Notamacropus eugenii: one gene and its partner. The protein of the gene in region 2 purifies or fractionates together with the protein of the main gene of each other region. This does not show direct contact. Links are inferred from orthologs where the notes say so. Each region holds a gene or a part of one and is shown on either strand. Other genes may lie near its edges. The genes, in order: IFI30 and DAPK1.

The links.
Region 1: the proteins of DAPK1 (region 2) and IFI30 purify together in Homo sapiens (affinity purification with mass spectrometry; 3 studies listed by BioGRID and IntAct, counting the BioPlex papers as one, with this or other methods). This does not show direct contact. The link is inferred for Notamacropus eugenii from reciprocal best matches to the Homo sapiens genes DAPK1 and IFI30.

Annotation. Positions count from the first base shown.
Region 1 is NC_092875.1:67,670,943-67,686,867, forward strand, and holds the start of IFI30 (gamma-interferon-inducible lysosomal thiol reductase), read right to left. Parts: upstream 6,832-15,925; 5' UTR 5,786-6,831; coding exon 5,597-5,785; intron 3,510-5,596; coding exon 3,327-3,509; intron 3,228-3,326; coding exon 3,153-3,227; intron 2,972-3,152; coding exon 2,873-2,971; intron 1,191-2,872; exon of another isoform or gene 1-1,190. UniProt on the Homo sapiens protein: Lysosomal thiol reductase that can reduce protein disulfide bonds. May facilitate the complete unfolding of proteins destined for lysosomal degradation. Plays an important role in antigen processing.
Region 2 is NC_092874.1:330,613,048-330,628,156, forward strand, and holds the start of DAPK1 (death-associated protein kinase 1), read right to left. Parts: upstream 8,443-15,109; 5' UTR 8,214-8,442; intron 8,140-8,213; exon of another isoform or gene 7,774-8,139; intron 7,667-7,773; exon of another isoform or gene 7,538-7,666; intron 7,221-7,537; exon of another isoform or gene 7,135-7,220; intron 6,760-7,134; 5' UTR 6,648-6,759; coding exon 6,586-6,647; intron 1-6,585. UniProt on the Homo sapiens protein: Calcium/calmodulin-dependent serine/threonine kinase involved in multiple cellular signaling pathways that trigger cell survival, apoptosis, and autophagy.

The DNA of each region.
Region 1 (15,925 bases), on a different chromosome or scaffold from region 2:
CCATCAGTTCTTTTTCTGGATGTAGCCCTTTGTGCTTATTTTGGATCACTGTGTTGCTGAGAAGAGCTGAGTCCTTCATAACTGATCATCACAGTATTGCTAATACTGTGTACGATGTTTTCTTGGTTCTGCTTATTTCACTTTGTATCAGTTTGTACAGGTCTTTTCAGGATTCTCTCAAATCTGCCTGTTGTAGATTTCTTATTGCATGATAGTATTCCATTACATTCAGATGCCACACCTTGTTCTACCATACCCCAAATTGTTCTCCAGAATGGTTGAATCACTTCACAACTCCACTAACAACGCATTGATATCCCAATTTTCTCACATCCTCTGCAACATTTATCATTTGCCTTTTTTGTCATAATAGTCCATCTGATAGGTGTGAGGTGGTACTTCAGAGTTGTTTTAATTTGCATTTTTCTACTCAAAAGTGATTTAGAGCACTTCTTCATATACCTATAGATAGCTTTATTTATCTAAAAGCTACCTGTTCATGTCCTTTAACCATTTATCTCTTGGGGAATATTGTTAGGTAAGAGATAAGGAAGATAAATTTCTGTTTATTAAAATGAATTGATTCATGGAGTGATTCCCATCAATTGGGGAATGGCTAAACAAACTGTGATATATGATTGTAAATGGAATATTATTTTGCTATACGAAATGACAAATAGGATGATTTCCAAAAAACCTGGAAAGACTCACATCAACTGATGAATAATGAAATGAACAGAACCAGCAGGACATTTAACAGCAACATTGTTCCATGAAGAACTGTGAATGATTTATCTATTCTCAGCAATACAACCATCCAAGATAATCCCAAAGGATTATCCTCCTCCAGAGAAAGAACTGATATTGTTTGTACAGAGGCTGGAGCATGCTATTTTTCTATTTCATTTTTTCTTTTATTTGAGTCTTGTACAAAATGACTAATATGGAAATGTTTTATATAATGGCATACATATAATCTGTATCTGATTGCATGCCATCTCATGGAGGGGGGAAGGAAGGTAGAGAGGAAAGGATAGAATTTTGAATTCAAATCTTAAAATAAAAATGTAAAAAGAAAAGCTGATTCAGTTAAAAAATTAATGTGGAAACAGCAATTTCTACACAACTTCCCTCTTTGAGCTGTGTGACAATGTTCAAACACTACAAAAATGAAAGTTTTCATTACCTTTCTTGTTTGTTTCATGAGGTTCTCTAGGAAAATATCAGTATGGGGCCTGACTTCCATTTTGTCTTTGTATTGCCAAGTGCCTAGTATGATGATAGGCACGTGGCTACCATTAAATATCCAGAGGGGGACTTGAATTCATCCCTGCCACCAAAGAATGCCCTTTTTAATACCAGAATTCTCTGGGTGAAGTATGATTCAGCAGAGCTGATCTCAGATGTAGGGAGACCTGGGTTCTGGTGCTGTGTGACCCTGGGCAAGTCACCAAATTTCCTCAAGAAACTTTCTGAGCCTAAGACCAGGCAACTGGAAATCCACAAGTCATTTCCGTACTAAGAGTTCCTTAATACTGATGAAAAACATAGGCAACTACCCCCAACAGTAACAAGTCCAGGTGATTCAAAGGATGATGGTGGACAGATGAAGGCTGCAGCCTATGCAGAAACCAGTCAAACTACCAGTATCTCAAGAGAAGTGAACATAGGATTGGCAAAGGTAGTATGCCAGTCACACAATAACAGTGTGGGATGAACATTAGAAAGTGTGTCTATGTCTAGTGTCTATGAAATTTGTAAAGACTCTAATGCTTTGGATGGACCCTCCAGTGAGAAGCCATGAAAGGACATGGACAAGAATCCCATGGAATGAGAAGACAGAAGGAGCACCACACCTCCCTTCTCCCCAGGGGGCAGGGGAAATACTCACAAGATGCACCCATCAAGAGGCAACAAATCTGTCTACTTGTCTGGACTAGTCTCAATCAGTCAACAGACATTTGTTAAGCAATTACTGGGTGCTAAGCACTAGGTACAGAATGAAAAGCAAAGAGACAAAGTCTCTGCCTTCAAGGAATTCACTCCCATTCTAAAGAACCCTGTCTTCAAAGTTCATCTCCTGAAATATTGCCACCTTTGGGTCCCTAAAGAACACAGACACATTCTCTGGAGGAGATTTAAGCTAGTAGTGCTCTCCAGAAAGCCCCTTCAAATTAGCCTATTTGGTAAGGAAAGTGCCTGTCTTTACTTATGGACCATCCATTAATGCTCTAACCATCTAAGACAACAAGACCCAACCTCACTAAAGGAAGAAGTGTGGAAGTGGGTCCAGGAAAGGATGAGTAATCTGTTGTGTATGGGGATTTCCACTCTTGCCTCTATATAACATAATTTCACTACTCTTCTCACAAGAGCAGTCATGTGGAACATTCTGGAAATTGTAATACCCATAGAAATTAATGTTATTTATTATTAACTATAAATTTATTTTCTATCAATGTAATAATAATATACTTATATAATTATGAATTAGTATTATAATAATACTTAATACTATTAAAATGACTTCCCTCACTTCTTTCACTCCATCTATTACCAATACCTCTTTCTGGTCTTGGTACTTGCCATGTCAGTGACTTTTACTTGATCCTGACAACCACCTTTCCACTATCCCCACTTTACTCATGGGGAAATCAAGGTTCAAAGAACCAGCAGTCACTTTTCCAAGGTCTTACAGCCATTCCTGCCCTGCACCAGGTCTTAATGTCCTTTAGGTGATCCCAGGACAATGAAATGCTGCCTCAGGGCTGCATCAGTCCAACTGTAGCCCCTGGGCAGAGACAAAGGGGTATTGGAAGAGATTTCCTCTCTTCCCTTCTCATTCCCCCTGCCAGACCAGGCAGGCACTTACTGGTTCCAGTGAGGTGGTCTGATCAACAGCTGACATCATACAGTTGACCACAACAAAGGCATTAGGAAAATGACTTCCAAGGAGGTACAACACGCAGGTCTGTAGGAGCAGAGAATAAGACTGAGAAACAGATAGGAAGAATATTCTTTCCCTTGGGAAATATTCCACACTCTGCTTCCCCATAATGTACCAGGAATGCAAAAGGAAGCCCAGAGTTTAAGTGAACAGCCCACAGTCACACAACACCTCCAGGAGAGGTTTGGAGCAGAAGAGTCTTTACCTGAAGCATGTTGAGTTCACACTCCAGCTCCCCATGTTGGCAGGTAAATTCCCAGGTCCCATTCACTTGGGTCTCCTGAAAAATACACACCCCAAGATGTGAAGGGGAAGGCAGAAGGCTGCAGGCAAACTCCCCACCGTCACTCCCACCCCAGTCCCAAGCTGGACCACTCACCTTAGCATTGCCAAAAGGCACAAGAGTGACATTCATGACATCCTTACCCAGCAGCACCCAGGTAGGGAAAAGCATCCAGGACAGGAAGAACCGACAGCCGGGACACAGTGCCTCATAGAAGAGTTTCACAGAGACAGGAGGGGCATCCAAAGGTCTCCATTGGGCAGAACACTCCTTTTCCGCCTGCAGGATGGGCACATCAGGTCACATTGGTGGTAGACAGACAAGTATGATCAGTGTGACAGGCTTCTAAGGCGAAGCTGCACCCTACTTTCCTCCCCATGTAGGGGGAGGCATGTTGGGACCCTGAGAGCCAACAGCAGCTGAGTCCCCTGGTAGTGTCCCTTGCATGGGATATTGCAGGGTCTGAGTGGATCCCCTGCCTCCAGCCCTGCTCTCTCCAATCCATCCTCCACACAGCTGCCAAACTGACTTTCCTGTCCTCAGGAAGTTTCACTGGCCCTGGTCCTCGTCTGCTGTTACAAAAAAATACAAACTCCTTTCTTTGGCACTCAGTGCCCATCAGACTCTGGCTACACAGCCTGTCTTTCCAAACTCATTGTACAATACTCCCTGTCATTCATTCTATATTTCAGCCAGCTACTGCTCCTAGAACATGAGGCCCCATCTCCCATCTCCAGGTCCTTGCACAAGCAAGGAATGTTCTGGATTTCTGGAGTGTTCCACCTCCCTACCTCTGTCTTGCAACACCTAGTTTTCTTTAGGGTTCTGCTCGGTGACACCTCCATCAAGAGACCTCTTTGTTAATGTCTTCCTCCTGCCCACATCAATATGTATTATATATTCTAGACATATTTGTATGGACATACATGCACATACTTTTATATCGACATATAGACATACTCTTATGTGTCCTACAAGCAAAGCCAGGAAGACTACCAGGGTTCAAGTCCTGTCCTAAGCACATAGCGGCTAAGTAGTTTTGGGCAAGTCACTTGGCCTCAGTACCTGAGACACTCCCTTAGATTTTAAGTTGTAGAGAAAGTGGCAACTTTCCCCGATAGAGGGGAGACTGCTCACCAGAGCCTTTCCTATGCCAATGAATGTAGACATCCCATGCAGTCCAGATTGACTTGTGTGCAGTGGGCATGTTCTATCCCCCAGTGGAGTGGCAACTCTTTCATGGACAGAGGCCTTTGGGACTTTCCCTTTGGTGTTTTAGCCAGGCCCTAGAAGCATCTGGCACAGGCTAGGCACTTAATAAATACTGGCCAGCTGATGGACTGGCAGAGATCTCTCTGTCCTGTTTCCTTATCTGCCAGATAAGGACACTGGCACCTGATAATCTGCTGGGCCCTTCTGGCACAGGCATTCTCACCACCAGAGTGTCTGGCCCTACAATAGATGCCTGCAGTCCTCTTCTAGCACTATGTTCTAAGAGCCCTCAGCTCTCCTGTTCTTCAGGATAGAGAAGATCCCTTATAACCACTGACTGGGGACAACTTCCTACTTCTGTTGCCCATCCTCTGAAACCACTGAGAAATCAGCTCCAGGTTAGTCACCATGTGACTGTCATGGGGTCTGTGAAGAAATCCTGACCCATTCCATTGTCAGCACCTTGGACTTTCCCTCAGCACTCTTCTCCTCCTCCCCAGCACCCTTCCCAGCTTCCAACTCTAGGGAGCAACCTCTAGAGACACTTGACTGCACGGTGACCCCAGGCTGGAGCAAGAGGGAGTTCAGGGTCCTATAGGGGTAAGGATAGCCCTACGTCCAGGTGAGCCTCTCCTGGGTACCTCCACCCTCAAGTCAAATCTAAACTGTCTTCCAAGTTGCTAGGAAAAGTAGTAGGAAAAAAAAAAAGCTGTGGAGCCACTTAGAAACAAGGAAGCCCCACCCATCCCTGGCTACCTCTGGCTCTGGAGGGAAAGTACTTCACCCTCTCGGTTTCTTTGTCCAGGTCCGGGCTTCTATGCCCCTGGGTCTGACACTCTCTGTCCTGCCGGGTCCCCCAGGAAGCCGTCTGGTATTCAGGGACCCTGGTCTTACTCCCGTTTCCCCTGGCCCGGACATTGGCAGGTTGATGTAGCTGGCGCCTATCTCACCCAGCGTCTGAAGCAGTCCCAGTGTGGGGGAGAACCAGATGTCCCAGGGGCCCGCCTCGGGACGCTGCCCTGCCTGCGCCGCGCCAGGTACCTGCCTCGCTTCCGGGGGAAAAAAGCTCAGGATCCGACCCCATTCCCATGCTCCAGCCCCACCCGAGTTCCCAGCCGTCCTCTAGTCCACAGTTCCTGTCCCGGACCCAGTACCTGGCAGATTCGGGAATTTTCCCAGGAGGAGCACCAATTGTAGACGGGCTGAGTACAGACAGGTTTTGTGGATTGCGATTTTCGGTGGAGTTGGGAGTGACTGCCACTTCCCACCTGACAGGGCACGCTGGGCACTCCGGGTACCAGGAGCAAAAGGAGGAGCAGAGACGCCAGAGGAGCCCAAGCCATCAGGCCTAGGTTGGTGGATTTGGCGGAGCGGAGAGCTGAGTGTAGATGAGCTGGTTGTACAATGAGGCTCAGTCCCAACCTTTAACCTCCTTGCCCTGCAGTGTCTGGCCCGCCCTCCTTGTCCCCGCCCCTGTCCCCGCCTCCCCCAGCTGTCCTGGCTGGGGGTGAGGGGGGAAAGAGGGAGGAACCTATAGACCCTACCGATCCCTCCACTTGGCCACAGCAGTCAGCACAGCTCCCGTACTGTTTCGAAAATGGGGAGAGGTGGACTAGGACCAAGTGATCCTTCATCCTGTGATTCTTTGAGCCTCAAAGTTTCCTCATCTGAAAATAAGGGGTGTGGAATAAAGGTATTTGATCTTTAAAGAACAACCTTCTCCCTCAATTAGGGCACCAGGGAAATCCTGTCCCAGGGTCTTTCCAAAAGGACACCTTGGGAAGACTTCTCTGAACAAAGTGAAGCGAGCAGAACCAGGAGAACACAGAAACTGCAACATTGTAACCATGACCAACTGGGAAAGACTTAGCTACCCTGAGCAAGACAATGTCCATAACAATTTCAAAGAAATCTTCTTGAGAAAAAAGCTATCCACTTCAGGAGAGAGCTAATAAACCTGACTGTAGGTTAAAGCATGGGATTGCCCTTGGGAGGTTTTTTAATCACTTTCTTTCCTTCTTTTGCTTTTTCTTTTTTGGCTTATATGGAAATACATATTCCATGCCTCAAGAAGCATAATGGGTGTCATATTCCTTTCCTTCTCAATGACTGGGAAAGGGACTGGAGGTAGGAAGAAAATTTGGAAGATGTGAAAAATGAATGTTAAAAAATTGACTATTTTTTTAAAAGGACTCCTTACATAGAAATGAGCTGGACCAGCTAGCAATTGCAGAGACCCTCACTAATTTTGGAAGTGGGAGTTTCCCCCACTCTCTCTGGATGCCCCTAATCCTGTTGCCACTTCCCAGAAAACAACAATGAGCAGGGTGTGTGATTGCAGGGGAGTTGTGGGGAAAAGAGCTTAGAAGTTGAGGACATTTAACAAAGGTCTCAGTCTGACCCCCATTTGGAATCTGGGTGGAGCACACTGGGCTCCTTCCAGTATTCCCTGGGCCTTGCCCCAGACTTTGGGGTATATTAAGGCAGGTTAGGGGAGGAGTTTTATATAGAAAAGAGTCAGAATGGACTGTGTTCCCTGGAAGTTTCTTATCACCTTAATGTCACAGTCTTCACTGGGGACTGAGAAAGAGAAATGAAGAAATATCAGGGGAAGGAATCCCAGGAACTGGGTGAGGATTACCCAGTCCTTGTGATCCGTAACATCACAAGACTGAGTGTTGGAAGAGACCCTGGGACACAGAAATTGAGGTCCGGATGGGACATTAGAACAGACACATGAGATTTGAGAGATGGTGAGAAGGAAGGAATACACACTGAATACTCCCTGCCAATTCTGGACTATGTTGGGAGGGCAGACAGTGCTTGCCCTTTGATCCAGCAATACCACTGCTAGGTCTGTATCCCAAAAAGAGCAAAGGAAAAGGCCCTATGTGTAGGGAACTATTTATTGCAGCTCTTTTTGTGGTAGCAAAGAATGGGAAATGGAGGGGATACCCACCAAGTGGGGATGGCAGAACAAGTTTTGTTGCATGATCATGATGGAATACTTTAGTACTATAGGGAATGATGAACAGGATGCTTTCAGAAAAACTGGGAAGATGTATATCATTTGTCATTTTCCTATTCTGTCTGATCTGACAGGTGTGAGGAGGTCTCTGAAAATTGTTTTAATTTGCATTTCTCTAATTAGTCACATTGGAACTTCCTGAGAAGAATAGCCAGGCCTGTGTCTTAGAAGGATCTTTTTAGCAGCTGAATGGAAGATGGATTGGTGTGGGAAGAGACTTAGGGCAGGCAGGTCCACCAGCAGCTATTGTGAGACTCCCAACCTGAGGTGATAAGGGTCTGCACTAGTGGGGTGATGGTGTCAGAGAGAAAAGGGTTATAGGAGACAAGTATTTATTAAGCACTTACTGTATGCCCAGCACAGTGCTGGACACTGAAGTGCAAATAGAAACAAAGAGATATTCCCTGCCTTCATGGAGTTTCCATTTGAATGGGGGGAGGGAAAGGAGACAACACAGAAAAGGAAGCTGAAGATGGAGGTGAGGTGAATGTCCTTGAATGGGGACTTGATAGAGAAAGAAATCCAGAGTCAGGAGTGAACTCTGATCAGGAATGAAGGAGGAAACCAGTCTAGCCTGGGCCCTTCCTTAAAAGAGAGGGTCTAGGAGGAGATGACCAGTCAGGGAAAGGGGCCAAAGGGCTGGAGGTATCTTCTAGAGGAGAAGGTATGGGGCATGAGGGCTCCCTTCATCTTTGATTCTATGTTCACAGATCAATGGGAGGAAGGGGCACATGACCAACTGGGGGAATCAGATGAGGCCTCTTGAGGAAGCAACACTAAAGCTGAGCTTTGAAAGCAGCCAGAGGGTTCTGAGAGCACGCTAGGTGTGGGAACCAGCCTGTTGCTTGTCCTTCCTTCTAGAAGAAGACTGAGGCATCAGGAAGATGACTGGCAAGTGAACTGGATTACAATGACGGAGTGCTGTTCAAAGTCACCAGCCTCACTTTCTCCTCCAGAGCCCTTTGGGTCCTGTGGCAAGATATAAATCAAGATGACTGGAGATGGCCCCCTGGAGCCAGCCTATGCAAAGGAAGATGGAAGACGGAATGCTGTGTTCAGAACAAACAGGCCATTTGACTGGACCATAGGTCAACTCCCAATTGAATTCCATCCCCCACTGCTGTCAGGTCTGGAGTCAGAAACATCAGAGACCTTTTAGTCTTCTACCTAACTAAAAGGAAGGAAAGATGGATGGATGGATGGATGGATGGATGGATGGATGGATGGATGGATGGATGTGATGGCTCCTTTCCTGAGGTTGAAGCTGAGGGCAGAGAACTTGGAATCTTCCCAGCCCTAATCCCCCCAAGGATACCCACATTCTTCTCTACAACCCATCATACCCCACCCCACCCCACCCCTCCAAGATTTCAGCAGGGTCAGAAAGGAAAACCATCCCCTGCCCACAAGAGCCACTCTTCACTTCTCTTTTATAGTAAGGAGGCAGTGGACCCTGGATTTATTTTGGGGTGCTACTTGAGGTAGCTAGCTCATGGGCCCTGGGCTATCTGTGGTGCTTTCTGAGGAGGGCTGGCCTAGGCAGGCTTAGGGCAAGGCTTAGATCAGGTGTGCATCAAAATGTCACATGTCAACCTGAATTTGGATACAAAGGATCACCTCTTTACAAAATGAGAAAAGAAAAAAAACAGTGCCATGTACACAGCAGACCATGGAGAGGATTAAATATAGAATAACGGACTTCCATTTCAAGAAAACCTATGTAATAAATACTACACACGGTTTTTAAAGCTGCTCAGCTTTTCATTACTTCCTTTTTGGGTTTTCTTTTGTTCTCTTTAGCCTTTCCTCTCTCTGGGGAGATCACTGGGTACAATTACTGTCATGATCTGTTATAAAATCACTGAAAAGCTATGTTAAGCTGTCCCACAAGATTTCAGGAAAGTATTCCACTTAACTGGAGCAACAGGATACAAACCTTTCAGGATTCCAGGAAAAGGAATTCCTCCAGTTCTAATCTCTTATCAATAATGACTGCTTTAGAAATTTTTGAAAAGAACAGTAGCACCTCTAGGACCTGGGAATTTCCAGGGCTGTTCTGCTACCTAACCATCCAGCCCCTCCTACAGAAACCTAAGGGACTTTTGAATTTCCTTAGAATTGCTTTTCAAAGTACATCAGCCTGGGAAGAAGGTAGGGAGATGAATTGCCTGGACTCTGAGGGACTTGGGGACAAGAAAGGGGGAGAGGTAGTCACTGATACAGGAAAAGAGTGCAGATGCCCTGAAACAAATCCCAGAGGCAAAGCTTTGTCAGCTGGGGAAACCTAGAAGGTTCTGCTCTTTCTCTCTAACCCAGGAACCCCGTTTCTCCCCCAGAGCTCTGAGGACTAAGGCTGGCAGCCCCCAGACTTTGGGGTCTTTCCTCTCCTGGATTGCTTCTATTGCACCTCTTTCTTTCAGCCATCTCCTCCTGTCCCACAACCTGAAAGTCACTCAAGGTTTTGTTGTCTGCTCTATTCTCCTCTACCTTTCCCTTCTCCCCTTGGGTCATGTCATCCCTTCCCATGGCTCACACTTTCTACCCTCCCTTCTCCTTAGATCGTATCTGAAATGCAGATGGCCCTTCCAGCTTTGACACTCATTCCTCGGCTGGCCTCTCCCCCAGAGGTGATCTCTTCTATTCTGGCCTTCTGGCCCTGGAATACCCTTTTACCCCTTTCACCCCCTTCTCTCACTGATCAGTTTCTTCCTGGGAAGTCCATTTTGAGGAAGGGTTCAGGAAAGCCATTTTCACTCCTCTCCCAGATTCACCTGCCTGGGTAACATGCTTTCCTCCCCCTCTCTTCTGAACTCCTTTATTGGTGTTTCCCTCATTAGAATGGAAAGTCTTGGAGGGCAGGGGCTGTCTTTCCTTTTTACTAGTATGTGGATCCCCAGTGCTGAGCTCCTGCCTGGTCCATAGCAAGCACTTAACAAACACTTCTTGTAACTGAATTCCAGTTGTCTGTGTTTGTGCCTTGGGTCCTGGAGGACAAGGACTAAACTGTATTGAAACTTTGAATGAATGAAAAGACATTTGGATTAAGCCCAGGAAATAGCATAACAGTGGATGGAGATCAGTCCTCAAACCAGGAAGGACTGAGCCATACTGGCTGTGATCTGGGCTCCCCACAGCTCTGTTCAGCCCTTTAAGTGGCAGAGCAGGTACCCACTGGCCTTGGCAAAGGGAGTGTTTTCTGCTGGGAGTTCCCTTCCCAATGAAACCATGGATCTTGTCCCAATCCCTATCTTCTCCAGCACTAAGTACAAGGTGCCCTTTGAAGAACTCCTGGCCTTTGCCCAGGCAATGTCCCACACCTGGAAAGCTCTCCTTCCTCACCTCCACCTCCTGGCGCCCCCTTCAAGGCCTAGCTAAAACACTCCTTCTACAGGAAAACTGTTCCAGTGCCCCTTGATTCTAGTGCCTTCCCTCGGTTGATTAGCTTCAGTTTATCCTGTCTGTGGCTTGTTTGTCCAGAGTTGTTTAGCACAATGCCTGGCACCCATAAAGTGCCTAATGAATGCTTGTTGGAGCAACATTATTGGGAGACGGGCGATAACGGTGATAATGTTTAATATAAAATTTTGGAATAATCTCTTTGTTCTCTCTGAAGCAAACTCAGAGAATGCCTCTTCCTATGTCAGCAAAAGCCAGCCAAAGCTGACTCTGCACTCCTTGGGAGTCCTTTAACCTATGACATATCTTGAATAATGGGACTTTCCTTTGTATCTTATTATCTATAGACACATACTATGTTATGGCATATTAATGGTAAAGAAAAAATAGGCATCCTGGGTTTCTATTGAACATTGTTTGCCCTTTCCTGCATCAGTTACCTGTTTGGGGCAGGAAGCCTGCCACTTACTAGTGGTGGGATTTCCTTACCACCTGGGACATATGTTTACCCAGCTTGGAATCTCAAGACTTGACTGACATTGCTTTGTTAATTGTCTTGTCTTACTAAATTTATGATTTGTTCAACTAGGAGAGTTCCTTTCTCATGGCAAAATGTATATAAGCCAGAAGATTTCTGCACTGGGTAGCCAGAACATTTCTGGCTCCATAATGCATTATGTAACTGTTTTCTTTATGGGGAATTGATTGATTAATTAATTAAATCATAAAATGTATGCATTCAGCCTGTTGTCTTTCTTTTTAAGTTTTCAGGTCAACAACGGCAAGACAATCCCAAAGGACTCAGGCGGAAAATGCCGCCCACCCCTGAAGAAAAAGCTGATGATGTCTGAATGCAGATTGAAGAGTAATATTTTTACTTTAATTTTTTGTGTGTTTTTCCCCTTTTATTCTCTTTTTTCTTTCACAACATGACTAATATGGAAATATGTTTTACATGATTGCACATATATAATCCATATTAATAGCTTACTGTCTTAGGGAGGGGATCAAGGGAGGGAGAAAATTTGGAACCCAGAATTTTATTTTAGAAAATGAATGTTAAAAATTGTCTTTATAATTAGAAAAAATAAAATACTATTTTAAAAATGCTTATTGACTTTACTTGACTCCCAGAAGTATATCTGTGGCCCTGGCTTCTCCCCTGAACTCCTGCCAGGTTATGTGTGTCCCACCAGCAACCCCACCTCAACCTGTCCGAAGCTGCAGTCAGCACTTTTCCCTTCTCCCAGCTTCCCTCTTCAACTTTTCTCCTTACTTTCCCCCAATGAGCATTAGAAAATTGAGGTTCTTATCCTGAGTACATGGGGTGATCTTGGAAATTTCCTTCCTCTTCTGGGCCTAAGTTTCGTCCTCTGTAGAGCAAAAGGGTTGGTCTAGATGACACAGAAGACCTCTTTCAGCAATTTCAGTTTGTGACACACCATCTAAATATGTAACCACCTGCCCCTTCACAAAACATTCCCTACCTTCCTGACAAGGAGTTTTCTAGCCTTTTGGACAAGACTTTCCCTAAGGGGGAACCTCGTGAGGTGCTTCATTTCAGTTTCTTTGTTCCTTAACATCTGAGGAATTTTTTTCCCTGACATCAGGACAAAATTCCTAAATATTTACTCTCAGAATTTTCTCTCTCTTGGTCCCAATTCTCTCCTCTGGGTCTAAGCAGATTGCATAGAATCTCTAACAACCAGCCTTTACATCATGCTTTGGGTTTTGCTAAACTCTTTATAAATATTATCATATTAGATCCTCAAAGCAAACCTTTGGGAGATAGGTGTTATTATTATCCCAATTTGGACAGTTGAGGAAACTGAAGCAAACAGAGGAGAAGTGACTTGCCCAGGGTCACACAGGTAGGGAGTGTCTGAGACCAGATTTCAACTCTGGTCTTCCTGACTCCAGGCTCAGGGGTCTTATCCACTGGGCCACCTGGATCCCTTCCACATGACAGCCTTTCACATATTTGAAGAAAAAAGTTTTCTCTTTCCTAAGTCAAACATCCCTAAGTTCCTTTAAGACATTCTCACCTGACAAGACCTAACCTTCATTATCCTTGTTTCCCTTTTCTGATTCTTCAATGTCCTTTCAAAATCTGCTATCAATTTGGGGGATAACTAAACAAATTGTTGTATATTACAACGACTAGGTTCTTATCTTTGTAAGAACTTACTATAATGAAGAATTCAGGAAAACAGAAAGAACTGATGAAGAGCCAAGTGAGTAGACAGTCAGGAAAGCAATTTACACAATTTTCCCTGGAGGCTAAGGGAAAATGGCCTTGAAAGACTTCAGACCTCTTTGAGTATCCAATCCTAACTTCAGAGGATGGATGGTGAATCATGTCTCCCAACTCTAAGTATGGCAGAAGTAGATGGCCAGATGGAGAATAAGGCATACATTTCTATTCATGGCCTATTTGTTGGCTGGTTTTGCTTGATTATATTTATTTGTTATAAGAAGGCATTCTAGTGGATGTGAAAAGGGTGGGGAGGAGTTTTGGGGAGGTATCATTAAAAATAAAAAGAATTGAGCATCAAGATTTGAAACTTTAAGAAAATTGCTTCCTAGAACAACACAATACCCTGATATTGGCTAGAGTCTATCTACTCAACCCTACGGTAGAGCTGACCTGTGTGGCCGTTAATTGGTAGCCTAAATTGATCAATCTGTAGTCATTTATTAAATTCCACTGAACTCTGCCTTGACCATTAGGCAGGCCTAGCCATTTACCACTTATCTGCCCAGAGGCTGTATCCCCCAACTTCATTCCCCAACATGCTTTGCCCAAGAAGTTAAACATAAAGCATTATGGCTGTAGGGAAAGGCATGGCAATCTGTTATCTTAGCACTAGTCCAGTACTAGACTAGACTGTCCTAGACTCAGAATCCCTGTGATTCAGAGTCATAGGCTTATATAAGGGAGAACATCCCTTTCTTGACTACCCCTCCCTCATCCCTCCCACCCATTCCTGTTAGTTCCAACTCTCCTTGTCCTTATTCCACTCAACCTACTTTCTGTTTTGCCACCATTCCATTGGTAATCAACATCCTTTCAAATTTCCTCTCATACTTCTTCATTCTTGGCAAGAATGGAAACCTGGCTTCCACCAGAAGAGATTGCACTTCTGGGCATCTTCTCCAGCTCTGGATGGACCTCTGCTTAGACTATCTCCCTTTCCTCCTGGCCTCAGAGTGGTCTTGGAAGAGGAGAAAGCATACTCTTATACACCCTCATCACTTAGCAACTTCTCCTTCTTTGGGTTTCCTAATTTGTCACCCGATACAGATCTTGGTGACCGTTCTCAACTGCCACCACCTATCTCATTCTTCCTCCTTTCTTTTTAAAAAATTATTTTATTTCACTAAATATGTTCCAATTACATATAAAAACTTAACAGTAATTTTAAAAAATTGAGTTGCAAATTCTTTCCCTGACTCCTGCCCCTTCCCCCTCCTCCTGCCTCCTTTCTTGAGGAGTTCCATGTCTGGCTCAGCCTTTCTCCCTACCCCAACCCAGGTCCTCATACTTGGGGAGTTCAACTTACAAGCTGATTTCCTTTCAAAGATCGAGATTCCCAGCTCTCATGACTTTCTCACTCACCCCACACTCAGCCCCACACAGGGATGGTTGCACCCTTGAGCTCATCCTCATCCCTAGGTGTTTCTCCTTCATAATCCACAACTTTGAAATTCCTCTGTCTGAGAACATAAGTTTCTGTCCTTCCAGCTCTCTCCATGCCTTCTTTCTCCTAAACCTAGTCTCTGTCTTGCCTACAACCTTCAGTAGCTCACTCCCTCCCTACTTTCACAGGCCAGCGAGGATAATGATCCTTGCTCTGACTTCACTTTCCTCCTTTCAAAATCTTGACCCTATAATCAATCAACTTTGGCTTTACCCTCTCTTCTATCCTTTAATGCATTGCCTAGCAATTCCAATCACAACTCTTCTCTTTCCAAACCCCAACCCTGGAATTACTTCACCATCTGTCTTCTGGGGGCAGCCAGATGACACAGTTGATAGAATGTCTGGCATGGAGTCAGGAGGACTCATCTTTCTGAGTTTAAATCTGGCTTCAGACACTTATTAGCTGAGTGACCCTGGGCAAGTTACTTAACCATGTCTGCCCTGGTTTCCTCAACTGAGCTGGAGAAGAAAATGGCAAACCATTCTAGTATCTTTGCTGAGAAAACCCCAAGTGGGGTCAAGGAGAGTTGAACATGACTAAAAATGACTGAACAACAAAACTGCCTTTTCTCTTCCACTACAAGTGCCGTTGAATGCCAACTGTTAGAAATCATACTCTTGCCCTGAATAGGTCCACTCCAAATTCTTATCCTACAATCTCAACCATCTCTTCACTGCAGCACCCCCTTTTCAGTCTTCCCCAATCTCTAACCCACTCCCCTCAGCACCTGTTCAAAAGCTATTCTGTCATCTATACCACACCCTTCCTTTTAGCAACAGCCATGCATCTCAAGCTTCCGTTTCCCTCTAATTTTATCCTTCAAATCCTTGAATCATGACATATACCCCACCCCCAACTCTCTTCCTTTGCTCCAATCTGGAAGGAAGAAGGGGTTCTTCTGGCAAATGTCAAACTCTTCTTGTGTCCTTGGGAGAATATTCTCATTGACCCTTTCTTCTGCCAAAAGGCAGTCACAACTTCACAAAACTTACGTAAAAACTAGAACATGCTTTTCCCTTTCTCTATGTAGTGAATTTATGGTCCTTGATCACATCCCTTCTTCCTGACTCCCTTGGGAACTTGCTCCTTACAGACTTCACCATCCTTAAAAGAAAAATAGCAGCAGACCTTCCCTTGATCCCCTCCAGCTACCATCCTACATCTCTCCTCTTTCATAGCCAGACTCCTAGAATAATCTAGGCACCTTTTTCCATCTGCCTCTTGCTTCTCCATTCCTAATCTAGCATCTGATCATATTACTCAATTGAAACATTTCTCTTTGAGTTAACCAATGACCATCAGGTCTTTCCCCAGTCATTCTTCTTGATCTCTCTATAGTGTTTCCTGCTGTGGTT
Region 2 (15,109 bases):
GTGAAAAGATAGAACTGCAGTTCATCTACAAAGATAACACACTGACCCCTTATTGACAGCATATGCTTTTATCCATTTTTATATTTACAGGAATAAATATAAACTGAACTCGCATCTAGTCTTACCAAGCCCACATTTTCACCTGGGGTTAGAAATGTAAGTCTACAACTGTGAAAGCCACTAGAGGATCTTCACAAGCATTTCTGAATTGAACTGCTCCACATGCGGAATGCAGAATCCTCAGCTTTTGTGTTACTACTATCATCATTTAATTAACAAGTATAAAATGTGAAATCATAGGAGAAATAATAGCAATTGGTAGAACTGAAAGTGAGAGCAGTGAGCAGGACAGTGCAGAAAGGGCTCAATGTCATGCCATATGAGGACTGGCTGAAGGAATAGGAGAAAAGATTGGGGGCAAGGGTGGGGAATAAGGTTAATGAGGAGGAGAAGGAGAAGGATAAACATTTCCATGGCACATAATAGGTGTCAGACACTGTGCTAAATGCTTGACAATTATTATCTCATTTAGGCACCCATCCTAGAGTTAGGAAGACCTGAGTTCAAATCCAGTCTCAGAAACTTTCTAGCTATGTGATGCTGGGCAAGTTACTTAACCCTGTTTGCTTTGGTATCCTCATCAGCAAAAAGTGCTGGAGAAGAAAATGGCAAACCACTCTAGTACCTCTACCAAAAAAGCCCAAATGGGGACACAAAGAGTCAGACGTGTCTGAAATGGCTGAACAACAAAATTCATTCTCGTGACAACCTTGAGAGAGGGTGCCAGGGATAAGAGTCAGATAATAACTTTTTTTCAAATATTTAAAAAACTCATGTTGAAGAAGGGTTAGATTGTTCTGCTTAACATCAGAACACATCCAAGAATGATCAATGAAAGCTGAAGAGAAAATTTTGCTCACCAAAATGAAATACTTCCTAACAATTATCCAAAAATGGAGTGGGCTGCTCCAGGAGCTCATGGGTTCCCCCTCACCCAAGCTCTTTAATGAAAAGGTTATATGAACATCTGACATGGCTAATGTAGAGAGGGATTACTGTTACAGTAGTCTCACTGGATAGCCTCTGAGGTCCTTTCCAATTCTGACGTTCTGTGATTATGGGATTTATTGAGCATCTGCTATATATTATTATTATTATTACTGATAGGCATAGTCTCTGTTCCTAAGGAGCTAAAAATACAATACATGAAATCAACATGTGAGAGAAAAAAATTTTTCCCAAATGTAAATATTTATTTATGGAACGTAAGTATTCATGCAATGTTTTTGCACTATTTATCCTTTTACATCTTGACATGTGTACCCAATGATGCATCAGATTTTAATTTCCTATGAAGGAGAGAGAGTACCTAATGAAGAGACTATTCAGCACCCTGTGCAGCCTAAAGGTATGTGGGTGCTTAATAAATACTTTTCAATGATCCACAACCTCTCCTCCAATACAGTTCAAGCCCGTTCCTTCCCATCTGGTTATCAAAAAAACTGTTATTCATTGACAGCCTTATATTATCCTTGTACATACCTGAAAACTATTATTAAAGTGTGATGGTACTAGCAGCATTTAAAAATAATTGAAATGGTATTTGCCTAGATTAGACAACACATCTGAGTCGAACTCTTTGAAGACTCTGCACACACACACACACACACACACACACACACACACACATATGCACACACACCCCTCTAATACAAGTAATAGTGTACATTTAGGGGCAATGCAGTATAATGGAAAGAACCAGAGGCTCTGAGTTCAAACCTACTCTCTTCCACTCATTATTGTATGACACTTCTGAAGGATTCAGTTTTCTTATATTTAAAAGGAGAGAGATAGAATACATTACTTCTGAGGTCCTTCTCAGCTCTAAATCTACAATCCTGTCAGTTGAGCATAAAATGCTAACAAGTGGCACGACATCCTAAGATTTTCAAAGTGTTTTACAACTATTTCCTCTGATCCTCAAAACAACCCTGCGAGATAGGGGCTCTCATTATCCCCATTTTACAGATGAAGAAGCTCAGAGAAGTTTAAATAACTTGCTCAAGGTCATACAGATAATAAGTATCAGAAATAGGATTTAAAACAAACTGAAAAATGTTACTTAGTTGCTGACATGGTATAATACCATAATACTACTACTACTACTACTATTACTACTACTACTACTACTGCTACAACTACTACTACTTATATAGCTCTTTAAATTTTTACTTATATGGTGCTTTAAAATTTACAAAGTGCTTTGCAAATATCATTTCATTTGATTCATAACCACCCTAGAATGTAGCTGCTATTCTTATTCCTATTTACAGATGAGGAAACTAAAGCAGACAGAAGTTAAGTGATTCCTAGATTCACACCGCTAATAAGCATCTGAGGCAAAATCTGAACTCAGGTCTTCCTAATTCCACAGGCCCAGCATTCTATCTACTGTGCCACCTAGCTACCTTAAATGACTGTCACTTACTTAAAATGCTTATAAAATCTATGTCAAACTAAGATTTTAAACTTGAGTTATTAGTTTCAGTTTTATATCTCACTAATAGAAGATTTTTGTCAATAAACAATTTCTTTTGCTTAAAAAGGTCTTTTTTTTTTGTATTTTCATTAGTCTAACCATATAACCTCCAAAAGAAAAATGAATCTAGAAAAGAAGTAAAGCTGTGATAATTCTCTAAGTTTGTTACCATCATTAAAAACAACTATCTCCAAAGTTTTGGAAAGAAGGGATCTATGAGTTTTGTAAAGGTAAAGTACTACAGGATCCATCAATGTTTACCCATGCATTCATCTGCTGAGTGAGAGTTATGTACAAAGCACAGGATGGAGGATGCAAATGCCAACATAGAATTTGGGAGGAATTTATATCTGAGGAGAAAAGGATACAAAATTACTTCAGTGAATCCTTCAAGGATGCACAGTTCTATTGGGGAAGGGAACATCCTCCCCTGATGAAAATGAGAAGTTCTCTATGGTTTTGTAGACTATGCATGAATTACTGTAATCAAAGAAATCCACTACCTGGTGGTCAGCCAACCTTCTAACTTAGTTAGGAAGGTGTCACTGAGTCCATACTCAAAGTCTTTTCAAGGTAGTAATATCTTTCAAAGCTTGTGTTAATGCGCAGCTAGGTGGCGCTGACAGAGTGCTGAGCCTGGAGTCAGGCTCATCTTCCTGAGATCAAATCCTGCCAGAGACACTTTCTAACTATGATACTGGGCAAGTCACTTACCCCTGTTTGCCTTAGTTTCCTCATCTGTAAATTGAGCTGGAGAAGGAAATGCCAAGTCACTCTAGTAACTTTGCCAAAAGAAACTCAACTGAGTCACAAAGAGATACAACAGAATACAACTGAGCAACAATATTCAAAGTCTTTTCAACATAGTAATATCTTCCAGGGCTTGTTACATTGGCCTAGCCTTTAGCCTTTAAAAAAACAAACAAACAGGTTTTATCCCTAAACTATTTATCTTCTTGGTAGAAGATCACACATAAAATTGATCAATACAAGAATTAAATAATGCAGAAATGATACCTCATGGCTGCATGTAGAAATCACCATAGAATCAAGTGGATTTATGAGTAAAAGTGCAGCATCAAAAGACAGGTAAGATATAGCTATGTAGCTGGAAGAAGGGAGAGCATTTTGAAGGCAATTATTGTTCACATGACTTTATTGTAGCTACATGCTCACGTTTAGATTATGAACAAGCAACTCATAATATGCAACTTAAAACAGACTTGCCAACACTAGCAATCCACTAATACCTGTAATTTTTTTCCTACTGTTCTACCTTGCCTCCTCTACCCCCAACTTATGTCTTTCTGCCTTCCATTGAAGTACACAGTTATGAAACCAATATGCTTTCTTACACATTTAGAATAAATCTTTTCTTGCTTTGGGCAAGTAGTTATTTGCAGTGCAGACATAAAAAATTACAGGGTTTGAAAGAGCCATCAAAGGTCATCTGGCCCATCACTTTACCTCCAGGCTAGTCTACCATTCCAAAACAGATCCAATGCATAGCTTTCTAAACCCCCTACTTCAGTCATTATTTTTATTATTAACTGACATTCGTATAGAATTGTAAAGTTAGCAAAATATATTTTCATACGATGTCATTTGAGCCTCTCAATAAGTCTGTGAGGTAGGTACCAGAGTTATTAACTGCATTTCAAAGGTAAGATTAAATTACTTGCCTCATTGACACTAGTAACATAAGCAGGTTTTGAGTCTACATCTTCTTGACTCCAAGCCCCAGAATTCTATCCAGTACATGTAAATCAACAGATTCATTCACTTTACTCTCAAAAGTAAAATTATTGAATTAAAATTCTTTTGAACCACACGCCCCACACAGCAGACATGCAAAAAACACTCTCCAGAGTTAAGATGAAGTACAAATGACCACATCATAAAAATGAGAAAAAACTGTAAGCATATACATTTTCACAGATTATAAAACTTCTCTTAATAGGTGGGCCTCATTTTTTTACTTTTTCAAAAAAATGACCAAAAGGTCTCCAGGAAATTCAGGTTTCGTAAAGAATGTGGAAGTAGACTTATCTTTACTAAACTGTGCTTTCAACTGCTTTTAAGTCATATCTTTCAAATACAGAAGTCCCTATAAATTAGGCCATTTTAACCAAAATGAGCTAATGCCACATTTTTTCACCTCCTTTTAGTCCCAAAGGACCACTCCAAAATACCACAAGTCTTGCTGCAAAACCACAGGAATCAAATGACTTTATTTAAGCCAAACCAAATATTTTGACCACATATCCCTACAATGCCATACACATGCATACTTCAGTCCCACAGAACAGAATACTGATAAATGTATTCACAAAAAGTTATTTAAATCGATTTCCTGTGTCTAAGGCTCCAAACCTAGATCACTAAGTTTTATGACATTTAGCAACATACTCTCAGAAACATATAAGAATGTCTTAATAAATGTTTGCCACATTGTGTGGCTACAAAATTTCATGTTATTTACAGATCATGCAGTCATAGAAGGTTATGGAAGGTTATATAGATTACTTTTATTTTTCATTTTTTAATTAAAAAGGTAAATTTGGGAAATTACATTGAAGTAGTTTAGACTAGGTGTGGTTACAATTCTCTTGCAGAAAATAAAGGAAACTCACTTTGAGTGTCGAGTTGTGTATGAATACATATATGACTATACATACAAGTTTGTTTTTTTTTTAGTTTACAGTTCCTTCCATTCTCTTTACTCACATCACATACACCATTGGCACCTTCTTTTGACTTCATTTTAAAGGGTGAAAGAGGTTTTCTGCCAAATGCATGATAGCAACAGATGATGCAGTGGGAAAGTGCTGGGTTTGGAGTTGGGAAGACCTGAGTTCAAATCTAGCCTCAGACACTGCTAGCTCTATGACCCTGGGCAAATCATTTAACCTTGCTGTGCCTCAGTTTCCTTACCTGTAAAATGAGAATAATAAACTGCACCAACCTCCAGGGTAATTGTGAAGATCAAATGAGATACAATATGTACAATCTTTCCTAAACTTTGTGCAAAATACAAAGGTTACCTATTTACCCAGGTGAAGGCAAAAGCTCCCAAAAGCTTATGGCCCTTATAAGGCTGGTGATTAAACAACGTAAAAAAAAAAAAAATAACCATACACAAACACCCCTAAATCAATTCATTTTAAAAACTGAACCAGAAAGATTTTACATCAAGAATCACAGCCCCGTGAATCAAAATCCAAACTGCGTGTGAATAAAAAGATGATATTGGGCTTTTTATTGGATTGCCTGAAACATAGCTGCACAAATGAGACAAATGAAAACACCACAACAACCGAATTTTCAAATTGCTTTGAAGAAGTTAAAAATCAACGAACTCCATCAACAGATGTTTGCACCCATCATTACTATGCAGATGATGATTTATCAGCTTCAAGAAAATACCAGTACACAAATGCCTAAAAAGAAAGCAATTTAAAAACTGAACCAGAAAGATTTTTACATGAAGAATCACAGCTCCTGGAATCAAAGTCCAAACTCTGGATAAAATTAAATATTTAAAAATCCAACTAATTAGAATTATTTAATGCTAACCTACTATTTGTTAGTCACTCTATTATTTAATAGCAATCTGTTTAAATCATACATAATAGCATTCTCCACCTGCAATTGCCTCAGAATCTTTCCTACTGTCGCAGATGGGCAAAACACGACAGAATGTTAAAACTGGGAATTAGATGGGCACTTGTCCTGGACTGGTCAATACACTTTGCATCAAAATGTAACAATGAATTTCTGAGTGACCTTGTACTAGACAGTTTCCTGCAGACTGTGCCACTTATCTCTAACTCCAACCACCCTTTTTGTGACTAGTAAATCTCTTTTCTAACAATTCTCCCTTTTAGAAAGGACGGGGGCAGAGCTGCTATTAGAGAAACCTCAGCTAGGGTGTGTATTGTACTCCAGCTTACATTAGCCTGCCTCACACGTTCCCAACCCCAAGGCCCCCAGTATTACTCATCATCCCCTCAACAGAGAAACAGGAGTCCCAGTGCCTACCGTACCTGCCAAGCTCCTCCCCCGTGTCATAGTAATCATCCAGGTTCTCCTGCCTGAACACCGTCATGATAAGCTGTCAGTCCTCACCAAAGCCCCACCGACTTCAGCTCCACTTCCCAAACCTGTTATCACCATATCTTCGAAGGCTTCGTGGGCACCTCATGCATTATTTTTCCAGCCTTTAAAAGAAAATACAAAAGAAACAGATTGTCCCCTTATCGTCTTTACAATCACACAACAAAAATGCTTTGCATGCTATTTCGGGGCAACATTTGCACCTTGCATCTGGGGAGAGAAACCGCCTTTGTTAAGCACTGACTGCTGGAAAAAAAAAAAAAACCCAACAACTTACATCTGGTCCCGAACCTATCCCTGCCGTGTGTGGCTATGTACACACGGAATCTAAATGACGGTTTGTTCGTTTAAAAGGTGTTTTGTCCTCCCAGATCAGCTCAGGGAGAGAACAGGACCCAGCCAAGCTTCCTCCTTTCCTTTCTCTCCACACACGCACACGCACCAGTCTCCTCCATTCTCAGTCTAAGAATGAAACGTACCCGGACCAGGGGGCGGAATGCGTCTCTTCAAAGAAGGAAAATGTTTCGGAGGCAAAAGCAGCTAAGGAAGGTACGGTTTCTAGTCAAGCCCCTGCCACGACGGTCACCTTGTGACCCCTCCCTCCGTATACCTTCCTTCCCCAGCGATCCCATTTAACCCAGATCCGCGGAAGGCAATTTCCAGTGGCGGCACATTCCACAATGCCTTCCCCTCCGTTACCGGGTCAACTAGGACGTGCAGCTGGCAGCAGCAGAAGCAGCCCCATCCATCGCACTGACACAATACGGCCCCGCAAACACGCACCGCACCGCACCGCGGCAGGGGGAGAGAAGAGGCCAGCCCAGCCAAGACGCCCACCTCCTCCCTCCCCGGGCCCCTCGGCACGCCCCCGCCCCAATCCACCTGTTTCCGACCCAGCCCGGGCCGACGCCGGGACCGAGGGGAGGAGGAGCAGGCTAGGTAGGGGAGGCTCCGTCCCCACCAACGCCGGCCCGACCCCACTCTCCTGGCTGAGTTTCCGAGAAGCCAGGGCCTTCCCCCATTCCCCGGAGGCGCTGCCCGGGAGAATCCAGCAAGCCGATCAACCAAAGCAAAACAAACAGCCGGCGGGGGGAGGGCGGGGGCCAGGGAACACTTACCCCCAAACTCTGCAGCTGGAGGGGGAGCCTGGGGCGGGGGAAGCCTCCGGAATTCTCCGGAGTTGCTCTCGGAAGCCAACCATAGGCTCGGGCAGCGCAGAGACTAGAGGGAAAAGAGGGTGGGGAGGGGGAGAAGGAGGGACGGAGAGAAAAAGGGAGAGCGAGGATCCCTCGCCGCCACCTCCTCTCCTCCCCCACGGCTTCCTCCTCCCGCCGCGGCGGCCGCTCCGGCAGCTGCTGCCCTTCCCCTTCGGCTCCAGGTCCTGGCGAAGGGAACCGGCGGCGCAAACAATGTCCCCGGCGTGGAATCGGGGACTCGAGCCGAGCCAGCTGCGGCAGCACTCGGGGCCCCCGCCCGCCCAGCCTCCCACAAGGGGGAGTCCGGCAGCCAGCCAATAAGGGAACACCACTTGCAGCGACCCACCCACCTCCACACTTACCTTCCCCTCCAGCTCCAGAGTGCTGAACCTGCCCGTGCCTATGGAGGGACGGTTCTGTTCTGTTCTCGCTCTCCAACTCCTAGCCACCCACTCAGGCAGGCATCCCCACGCACACACAGACGCCCACGCCCTGGGCTCCGTGGGAGCGCTGCTTGGAAATGGTTGCACGTCTTGCGATTGCAGACTTTAGCTGTCTTCGTGGCTCTTCTCTCCAGGTTCCTAAAAGTATCGCCCTGAATAGGGGCGGGGCGGGGGGAGGGTGACTAGGAGAGACCCAGGCCCGGCACTTACTGGCCCAGTGAAGTCTGGGAGGTATGGGGGCTCCCGTGAATATCACTCCATCAACTGAACACTCAGAATTTCTGCTTTCAGAGCCACTCTTAACCACCTTTGCCTCCCACTCCTACCATCCACAAATCTCAGTTCTGCACTGGATTGCAAGGATTTCCTTTGGGGGAAAATGGATGTCTGTCATGGCCTTACTGAGAGATACCCCCAAACAGAAAAGGATGCTGTGATGACAAACCCCAGTGAAGAGGGTGCACTCCATAGTTCACGTGTAGGGATGTGGCACTGAGATACAAACGCTAGGCTCTGTTTCAGGATTTCAGACCCGCAGTCCTATCCAGCACTGGCAAATCTCTGGTGTTCTAAAACACAATGAAAGCACTTCTTCAACTTATTCAGCCTTGAAAACTAGAGCACTCTGGAATTTTGAAATAAGTCCCTCAAGCTGAAGAAATGGTGCTTCTCTGTGCATTTTCCTCCATTTGAGGGAGAAGTAACAGAAGTGTAGCCCAGGTCTAGTGTTAGGCCTGGTCTAGTTACTTTGTTTAATGGTCTGTAAGAAGCCGGGTAGATGCAATCTGCTGATGGTTCTAAATTGAGAGGTGGTGTGGATATCAGTAATGGGTTTCAGAACTAATACAAAAGGATCTCAAGAGGTGAGAAACATGAGCAGAAAATAACAAATATGATTCATCTGAGAGAAATGCAAATGACTTTGCTGGAAAATAATCTAACACAGATGTTTAGGAGTCAGTTGGAAAGTAAGAAAGCGGTCATGCCTTTGGAAAGTACATGTGAATGTGCTCTTCAAGACAACTCAACAGACAGTGCCTGTTTAAAGGTTTGGACCAAAGTGCCTTTATGTTCCCCCAAAAGAATGATTTTTTTTTTTATTCATCACACTGGAACCGCTTTAAACTAGGGCAGGAAAGTAGAAGCCTCACCCTGATTTTGTGAAATCTAGGTACCTTCTACAAGGGTCCACGCAAATTTACAGGGGGTTAGGGAATATGACCCAGAGGGAATGTCACAATACAGAAGTGCTAAGTCCATTTGACCTTAGGACAGCAATAGTGGACAGTGACTCAGAGGCATTTTTTAGGAGATATAATAGACTCTGAATCACAGAATAAAGACTGACTGAGCCTGAGCAGAAGAGATTCCCTGATGCTGGGATATAAAAATAGGCAAGGCCTAGAGTCATTGAATCATAGAACTTTAGTAAAGAGCTTTTTAATCCAATTTATTATTCAAAAGGAATCCCCCACTATACTCAAGTGGTCATCTATCTTCTGCCAGAAGAACTCCAATGAATTGAAATTCACTATCTCTCCAGACAGCCCACTTTTGGATAACTCCAATTATTAAAAAAATTTTCCAGACTCAAGTACTCAAATGGATCTATGATCTCATCAGTTTGGAAGTTCACTTCAACCATTCTAATCACATCTCATTTATATTTGTGCATCTTGTATGACTTTTGTCCCTGTTCTCCCACAAGTTCTTCAAAGAGGTATATACCCCACTGTACTAGAGGTCTTCCTCATTTTCTCCTGACATAATGAAGGTACCAGAGGAACTCTTTGGTCATATACTTGTCAGTCTTTGCCTTTGTGATGTAACCTGATCTTTTCTTTCTAGCATTCCTTGAAGACATCTTTAATTTCTGTTGTTTGAAGTTCTCTCAATTATCGTTGCAGTGTCCTCACACACAGCATTCACCTTTCCATTGTGTGATATCCTTTTTTAATTATTCAGAAACTTGTATTCCATATTTCACCACCATATAACCACATCAGTAGAATATTGATATGAAAAATATGGGTCTTTTCCCAGGACAACTGGGGATCAAAGGAGCTTTGTGTTTTCCTAAAAGCAACCAATCCTGCTGTTTTCTTCTTCAACTCTCACCCAAGCTCATTGTCCATCTCTATTGTCTACCCAGGTTGTATACATGTATACATCCATGCTGATGACAGTATCTACAGGGTAGCCATTCAAATACATGTCATAGGGTAGGCAATAGATATTCATCAACTTGGTCTTTTCCATGTGGATGATCAGACTCAAATTCTCTAAATAATTACATTTTCTCCTTCAGGAGACCCTGTAATATTTTGCTGGTTGATATAATTTGTACAATATCATCGACAAAAAGGAGCATCAGGGCATCACCACCCACAGGAAATGTCCCTTCAGCTTGGATTCCATGATGTCTTTGGTATTCATTTCTCTCTATTTGCCAAGTAGGCACTCTCTGGACTCTCTTGGTTTCTTCATTGTGGCAATTAATTTCTATTAGTTAACTGCTGAATAAAAATATTATAATTAGTGCCAGTCATCTGTTGTCCGTCTCCTATTTTTGATGGTCAATTGCTTGTTTAAAGAGTTTAGGACTGAGTTGTTAGAACTGTATACTTTTTTTCCCCCTCATTATTCTTTTGGTTTTTAATAATTCTGCTCTCAACTCAGGTACATTAGTTATCTGTTACACATAGATGATTCAGGTAAAACTGTCATATTAGTATTAGGCAAGTATTTTCCTGTCTGTGAAAAAAGAATATATTATGGATTTTGTTTCATTTGTTTTTGCAACATAATTTGGTGTTTGCTATGTCTGGGAACCCCCCATTTTTCCTCAAAGAAAGGCTTCATGATATAATCTCCATTGGCCTCCCTCATTCCTTTTTCCCCTGAACTATGCTTTCCCATGTTTCATATGTATTTCTCTTGATACTCAATTTTTTCCAAATTTGCATTGAAGTCACCATACACGTGTCTGTTCATTTAGACTGGAAAATCTTAATGAGATTCTTCCTAGAACTTTTCAGCCTCTTCATCCTAGCAACCTGATGTTTAGCCTAAATTTACCTCTTGACAATATCTACTTATTGCTCTTAGGATCAAACAGAAGAAGCCTAACTTCTCTTTCACAAGACAGTGCTTCAATACTTAAACGAAGTTGTGGTGTCCTTCCTAAGACTTCTGCCCTTCAAGTTAAACCTTCTGAGTTCCTTCAAATATTCCTCATGTGATCTGGACTTGGGCCAAGGTCCCATTATGGTTAACCTCCTCTTGATGCTTCCAGTTTATCAGCTTTCTTTCTTAACTAAGGAACCTAGGAAACAAGTTGAACAGTAGGAACTGATGTTGGGATGTCCAAGGGCTCCATATTTTCACTGCGTTGACTCTATCACTATGCATATGGCATTACTATCACTGGGTTGACAAGAGGAATAACACCCTAGGTTTCTCAACCTCCTACCGTAAGTGTCATCGGTATGGATTACCCTTTTAGGGAAACATGATTAAAAGGGAAAAAGGAATATTCATTAATTTTGACTTTGTTAACATAAGTTCTACATTATAATGGAAGTAGCTAGATTTCTGAGATACTATAGATCCTCAAGATATACATTTTTTGTTTAAATTCAAAATATTAATGATACAATAAGAGGATAGGGATTAGACCTATGATTTCGTTGGCACTAGAGGCACAGTGGAGTGAGAGAGAGAGTCAGGCCTGGAGTCAGGAAGACATTTTCCTGAGTTCAGGTCTGGCCTCAGACACTTACCAGCTGTGTGATCATGGTGAGACCCTGTTTGATACAGTTTCCTCATCTGTAAAATGAGATAGAGAAGGAAATGGCAAACCACTCCAGCATCTTTGCCAAGAAAACCCCAAATGGGGTCATGAAGAGTTGGACATAACTGAAAAATGATTGAACTGAAGGAGCTCCTAAGTAAGAAAACTCCCTCTATCAGTATGTCATTACCTTCTCTGCAATTCATAGTCTTAGAGTTTCCTAGAGCGTTGAGAGCTTAAATGACTTGACCAGGATTACACAGTCTTTATGTATCATGAGACTTGAATCCAGATCTTCTTGGCTATGTGAAGTCAGCTCCTCATCTACCATTATACCATACTGTCTCTAGCAGAAATAATCTTTATCTTAAAGTGCTGGCCTGTTGCATTTTGATTTTATATTTTAGGTACACTTTCTTCCATTTAGGTCACGTACATATCTATGGAGGCTAGACTAATTTCTATAGAATCCTAAATGAAAGATTTTCTTACTTTCATTTAAGTTAAATGAAAAAGGTGGAAGATGGAAGAGGCTTAAGAAGTCATTCAGTCTAACTTCTCAGGCCACAGGAATACTATTTATAATGTCCCTATTGGGTAGCCACTTCATCCCTTTTGAGTATTTTTTTTTTGAGGGAATATTCTACCTCAAAATAACTCATTCCATTTTCCAGTCACTCTAATTGTTCAACGTTAAGTTGAAATCCAATTCTCTGTAATTCAATCACTGTTATTCCTTCAGATATTCATGCCCACAAACTTGGAATAATCCTCAACTCTCCTACACCCCACGTATCCAATCAGTTGTCAAGTTTTTTGTGTTCTCCTTCTATAACTCTTCACACCTCTGTCCATTTCACAGCCCCCACTCTCATCCAGGTCCTCACCATGTCTCACCTGAACTATTGTAATAGTCTCCTCATTGAGCTCCCTGGGTAAAGTTTCTTCTCTTTCCAAAATATCCTTTCCATCCATTACTTCCAAAGATCTGCCAAAGTCATCCAGACCCTATAATATTCCCTACCAATAAACTCTAGTAGCTTCTTATCTCCTCCAGCATTGGATATGAGCTCCTTTTTAGCATTTAAAGCAATTCACAACTTTCTTGCAATCTATCTTTGCATTCTTATTAAACATTATTCCCTTTCCCATACTCTACAACACAATTAAACTGGTCTTCCTGTTCCCTATGTATGATATTGTAATTCCCGCTTCCGTGCCCTGACACAGTCTCTCCCCATCAAATCTGGAATGCATTCCCTTTTCACCTCTGCTTCTTAGAATTTTTGGCTTCCAACAAAGCTCAATTCAAATGCCACTTCTTATAAGAAGCCTTTCCTGATTGCTTTTGCCACTTGTACAATTCTCACCTCTACTCACAACTGATAGACTGTGTCAGAGGATGTGATAGAGGAATTCAGCTCCTCATCACCTCTCACCTGAATTTTTTCTGTATCTCCACACCTTGATTCCTTGCTTCAACTCTCTCCCTACTTTTTTCATACTCTACACCTGCCAAAGTCCTCACCACCTCTGCCTAAAATATAGGTCATATGATGTCACCCCCCCCCCCCCCAGCAAATTCCACTGGCTACCTATTGGTTGTAGAATCAGAAATAAGCTCCTCTTTTTGACTTTGAGTCCTCTTCATGACCTGGCCCCAGTGTAATTTTCCATTCTCATTATATATTACTTCTTTCCTGCACTTTAAGGTACAGTTAAGTGGCTTTCTTCCTGTTCCCCAAACTCACAAAAAACCACAACTAAAATATCCAAGCATGCATAAGATATTGAGATATACCATCCATTAAGAAGAACTACTCAAAGAAAGAGGCATGGATTATTCTGAAAACTTTCTGCTTGATTGAATTCACTTTTGCTCATTATTTTTGCATTGTGTATGATGACTATCTACATAAAGAGAAACATGACTCCTACTGAAAAGCTGTTATGTTCAATCACTCTTATGACCTATTGTTTGCTTGTATCTTTCCATGAAACTAAAACTACAAAAAACAGATTTACCTGCTTGGCTAACTACACTGATCAAATTAACAGAGTAATTACCAAACATTATTATTCATAATTCTGTCCTATTCTCCAGGACATACTCAGGGGTTTTTGAAAACTAATTGAAGAATATTCAATTACATGGCCCTTACTAGAAATACTATTCCAGAATTTTATTCCGTCATACAAAATATACAAATATTGTTTATTTCACTTCTATCTTATCCTTTTTTATTTTAATGTATTTGTTTCATAATATAAAATATATTAATATAGTAGTACATGTATGTGCATTATAAATAATTTTAGGACATCCCTGAGAACACCTTCCTCATTGGTAATTATGAGCTACCTAAGTCTTAGTATGCAGGAACTCTTAGTATGAGTCCACTTAGGGCAAAAGCCGAGACTGTTTTAATGACAACCTTTAATAGATGTAGATTTATTATGTAAAATATATAATATACAAAAACATTTTATATTCTATATATGTATATGTGTCTGTATATGTACACATATTCATACATGTATACATACATGTGTGTATGTGTATGTATGTGTATATGTATGTGTAGGAGTATATATATATATGTGTATATATATATATACATATATATATATATGAAATGCTACATAAGATAAAGAGAGGGTGATATTAGAGGGAAGATCCAGTAGTAGGGATGTGAGTGAAGGGCCTCTTGGAGAAGTTAAATTTGAGCTAAGCCTTGAAGGTGATCCGGGAAACCAAGAAACAAAGACAAAGATAGAGAATATTTCTGGTGTGGGGAATGGCCATTGAAAAGGCATTATGTTAGAAGAGGAAATACCATGTACTAGGAACAACTTAAATCAAGTCAAGAAAAATTTCTTCATTGGTTATGATGTGTTAGATCCTACTGATACAAAGTCCCTGTCCGAGAGAAGTTCTTACTCTAATGGGGGAGACTGTACGAAAATAACCATATACATACAATGTGTATACAATGTAAATGAAATTAATCTCAGAGGAAAG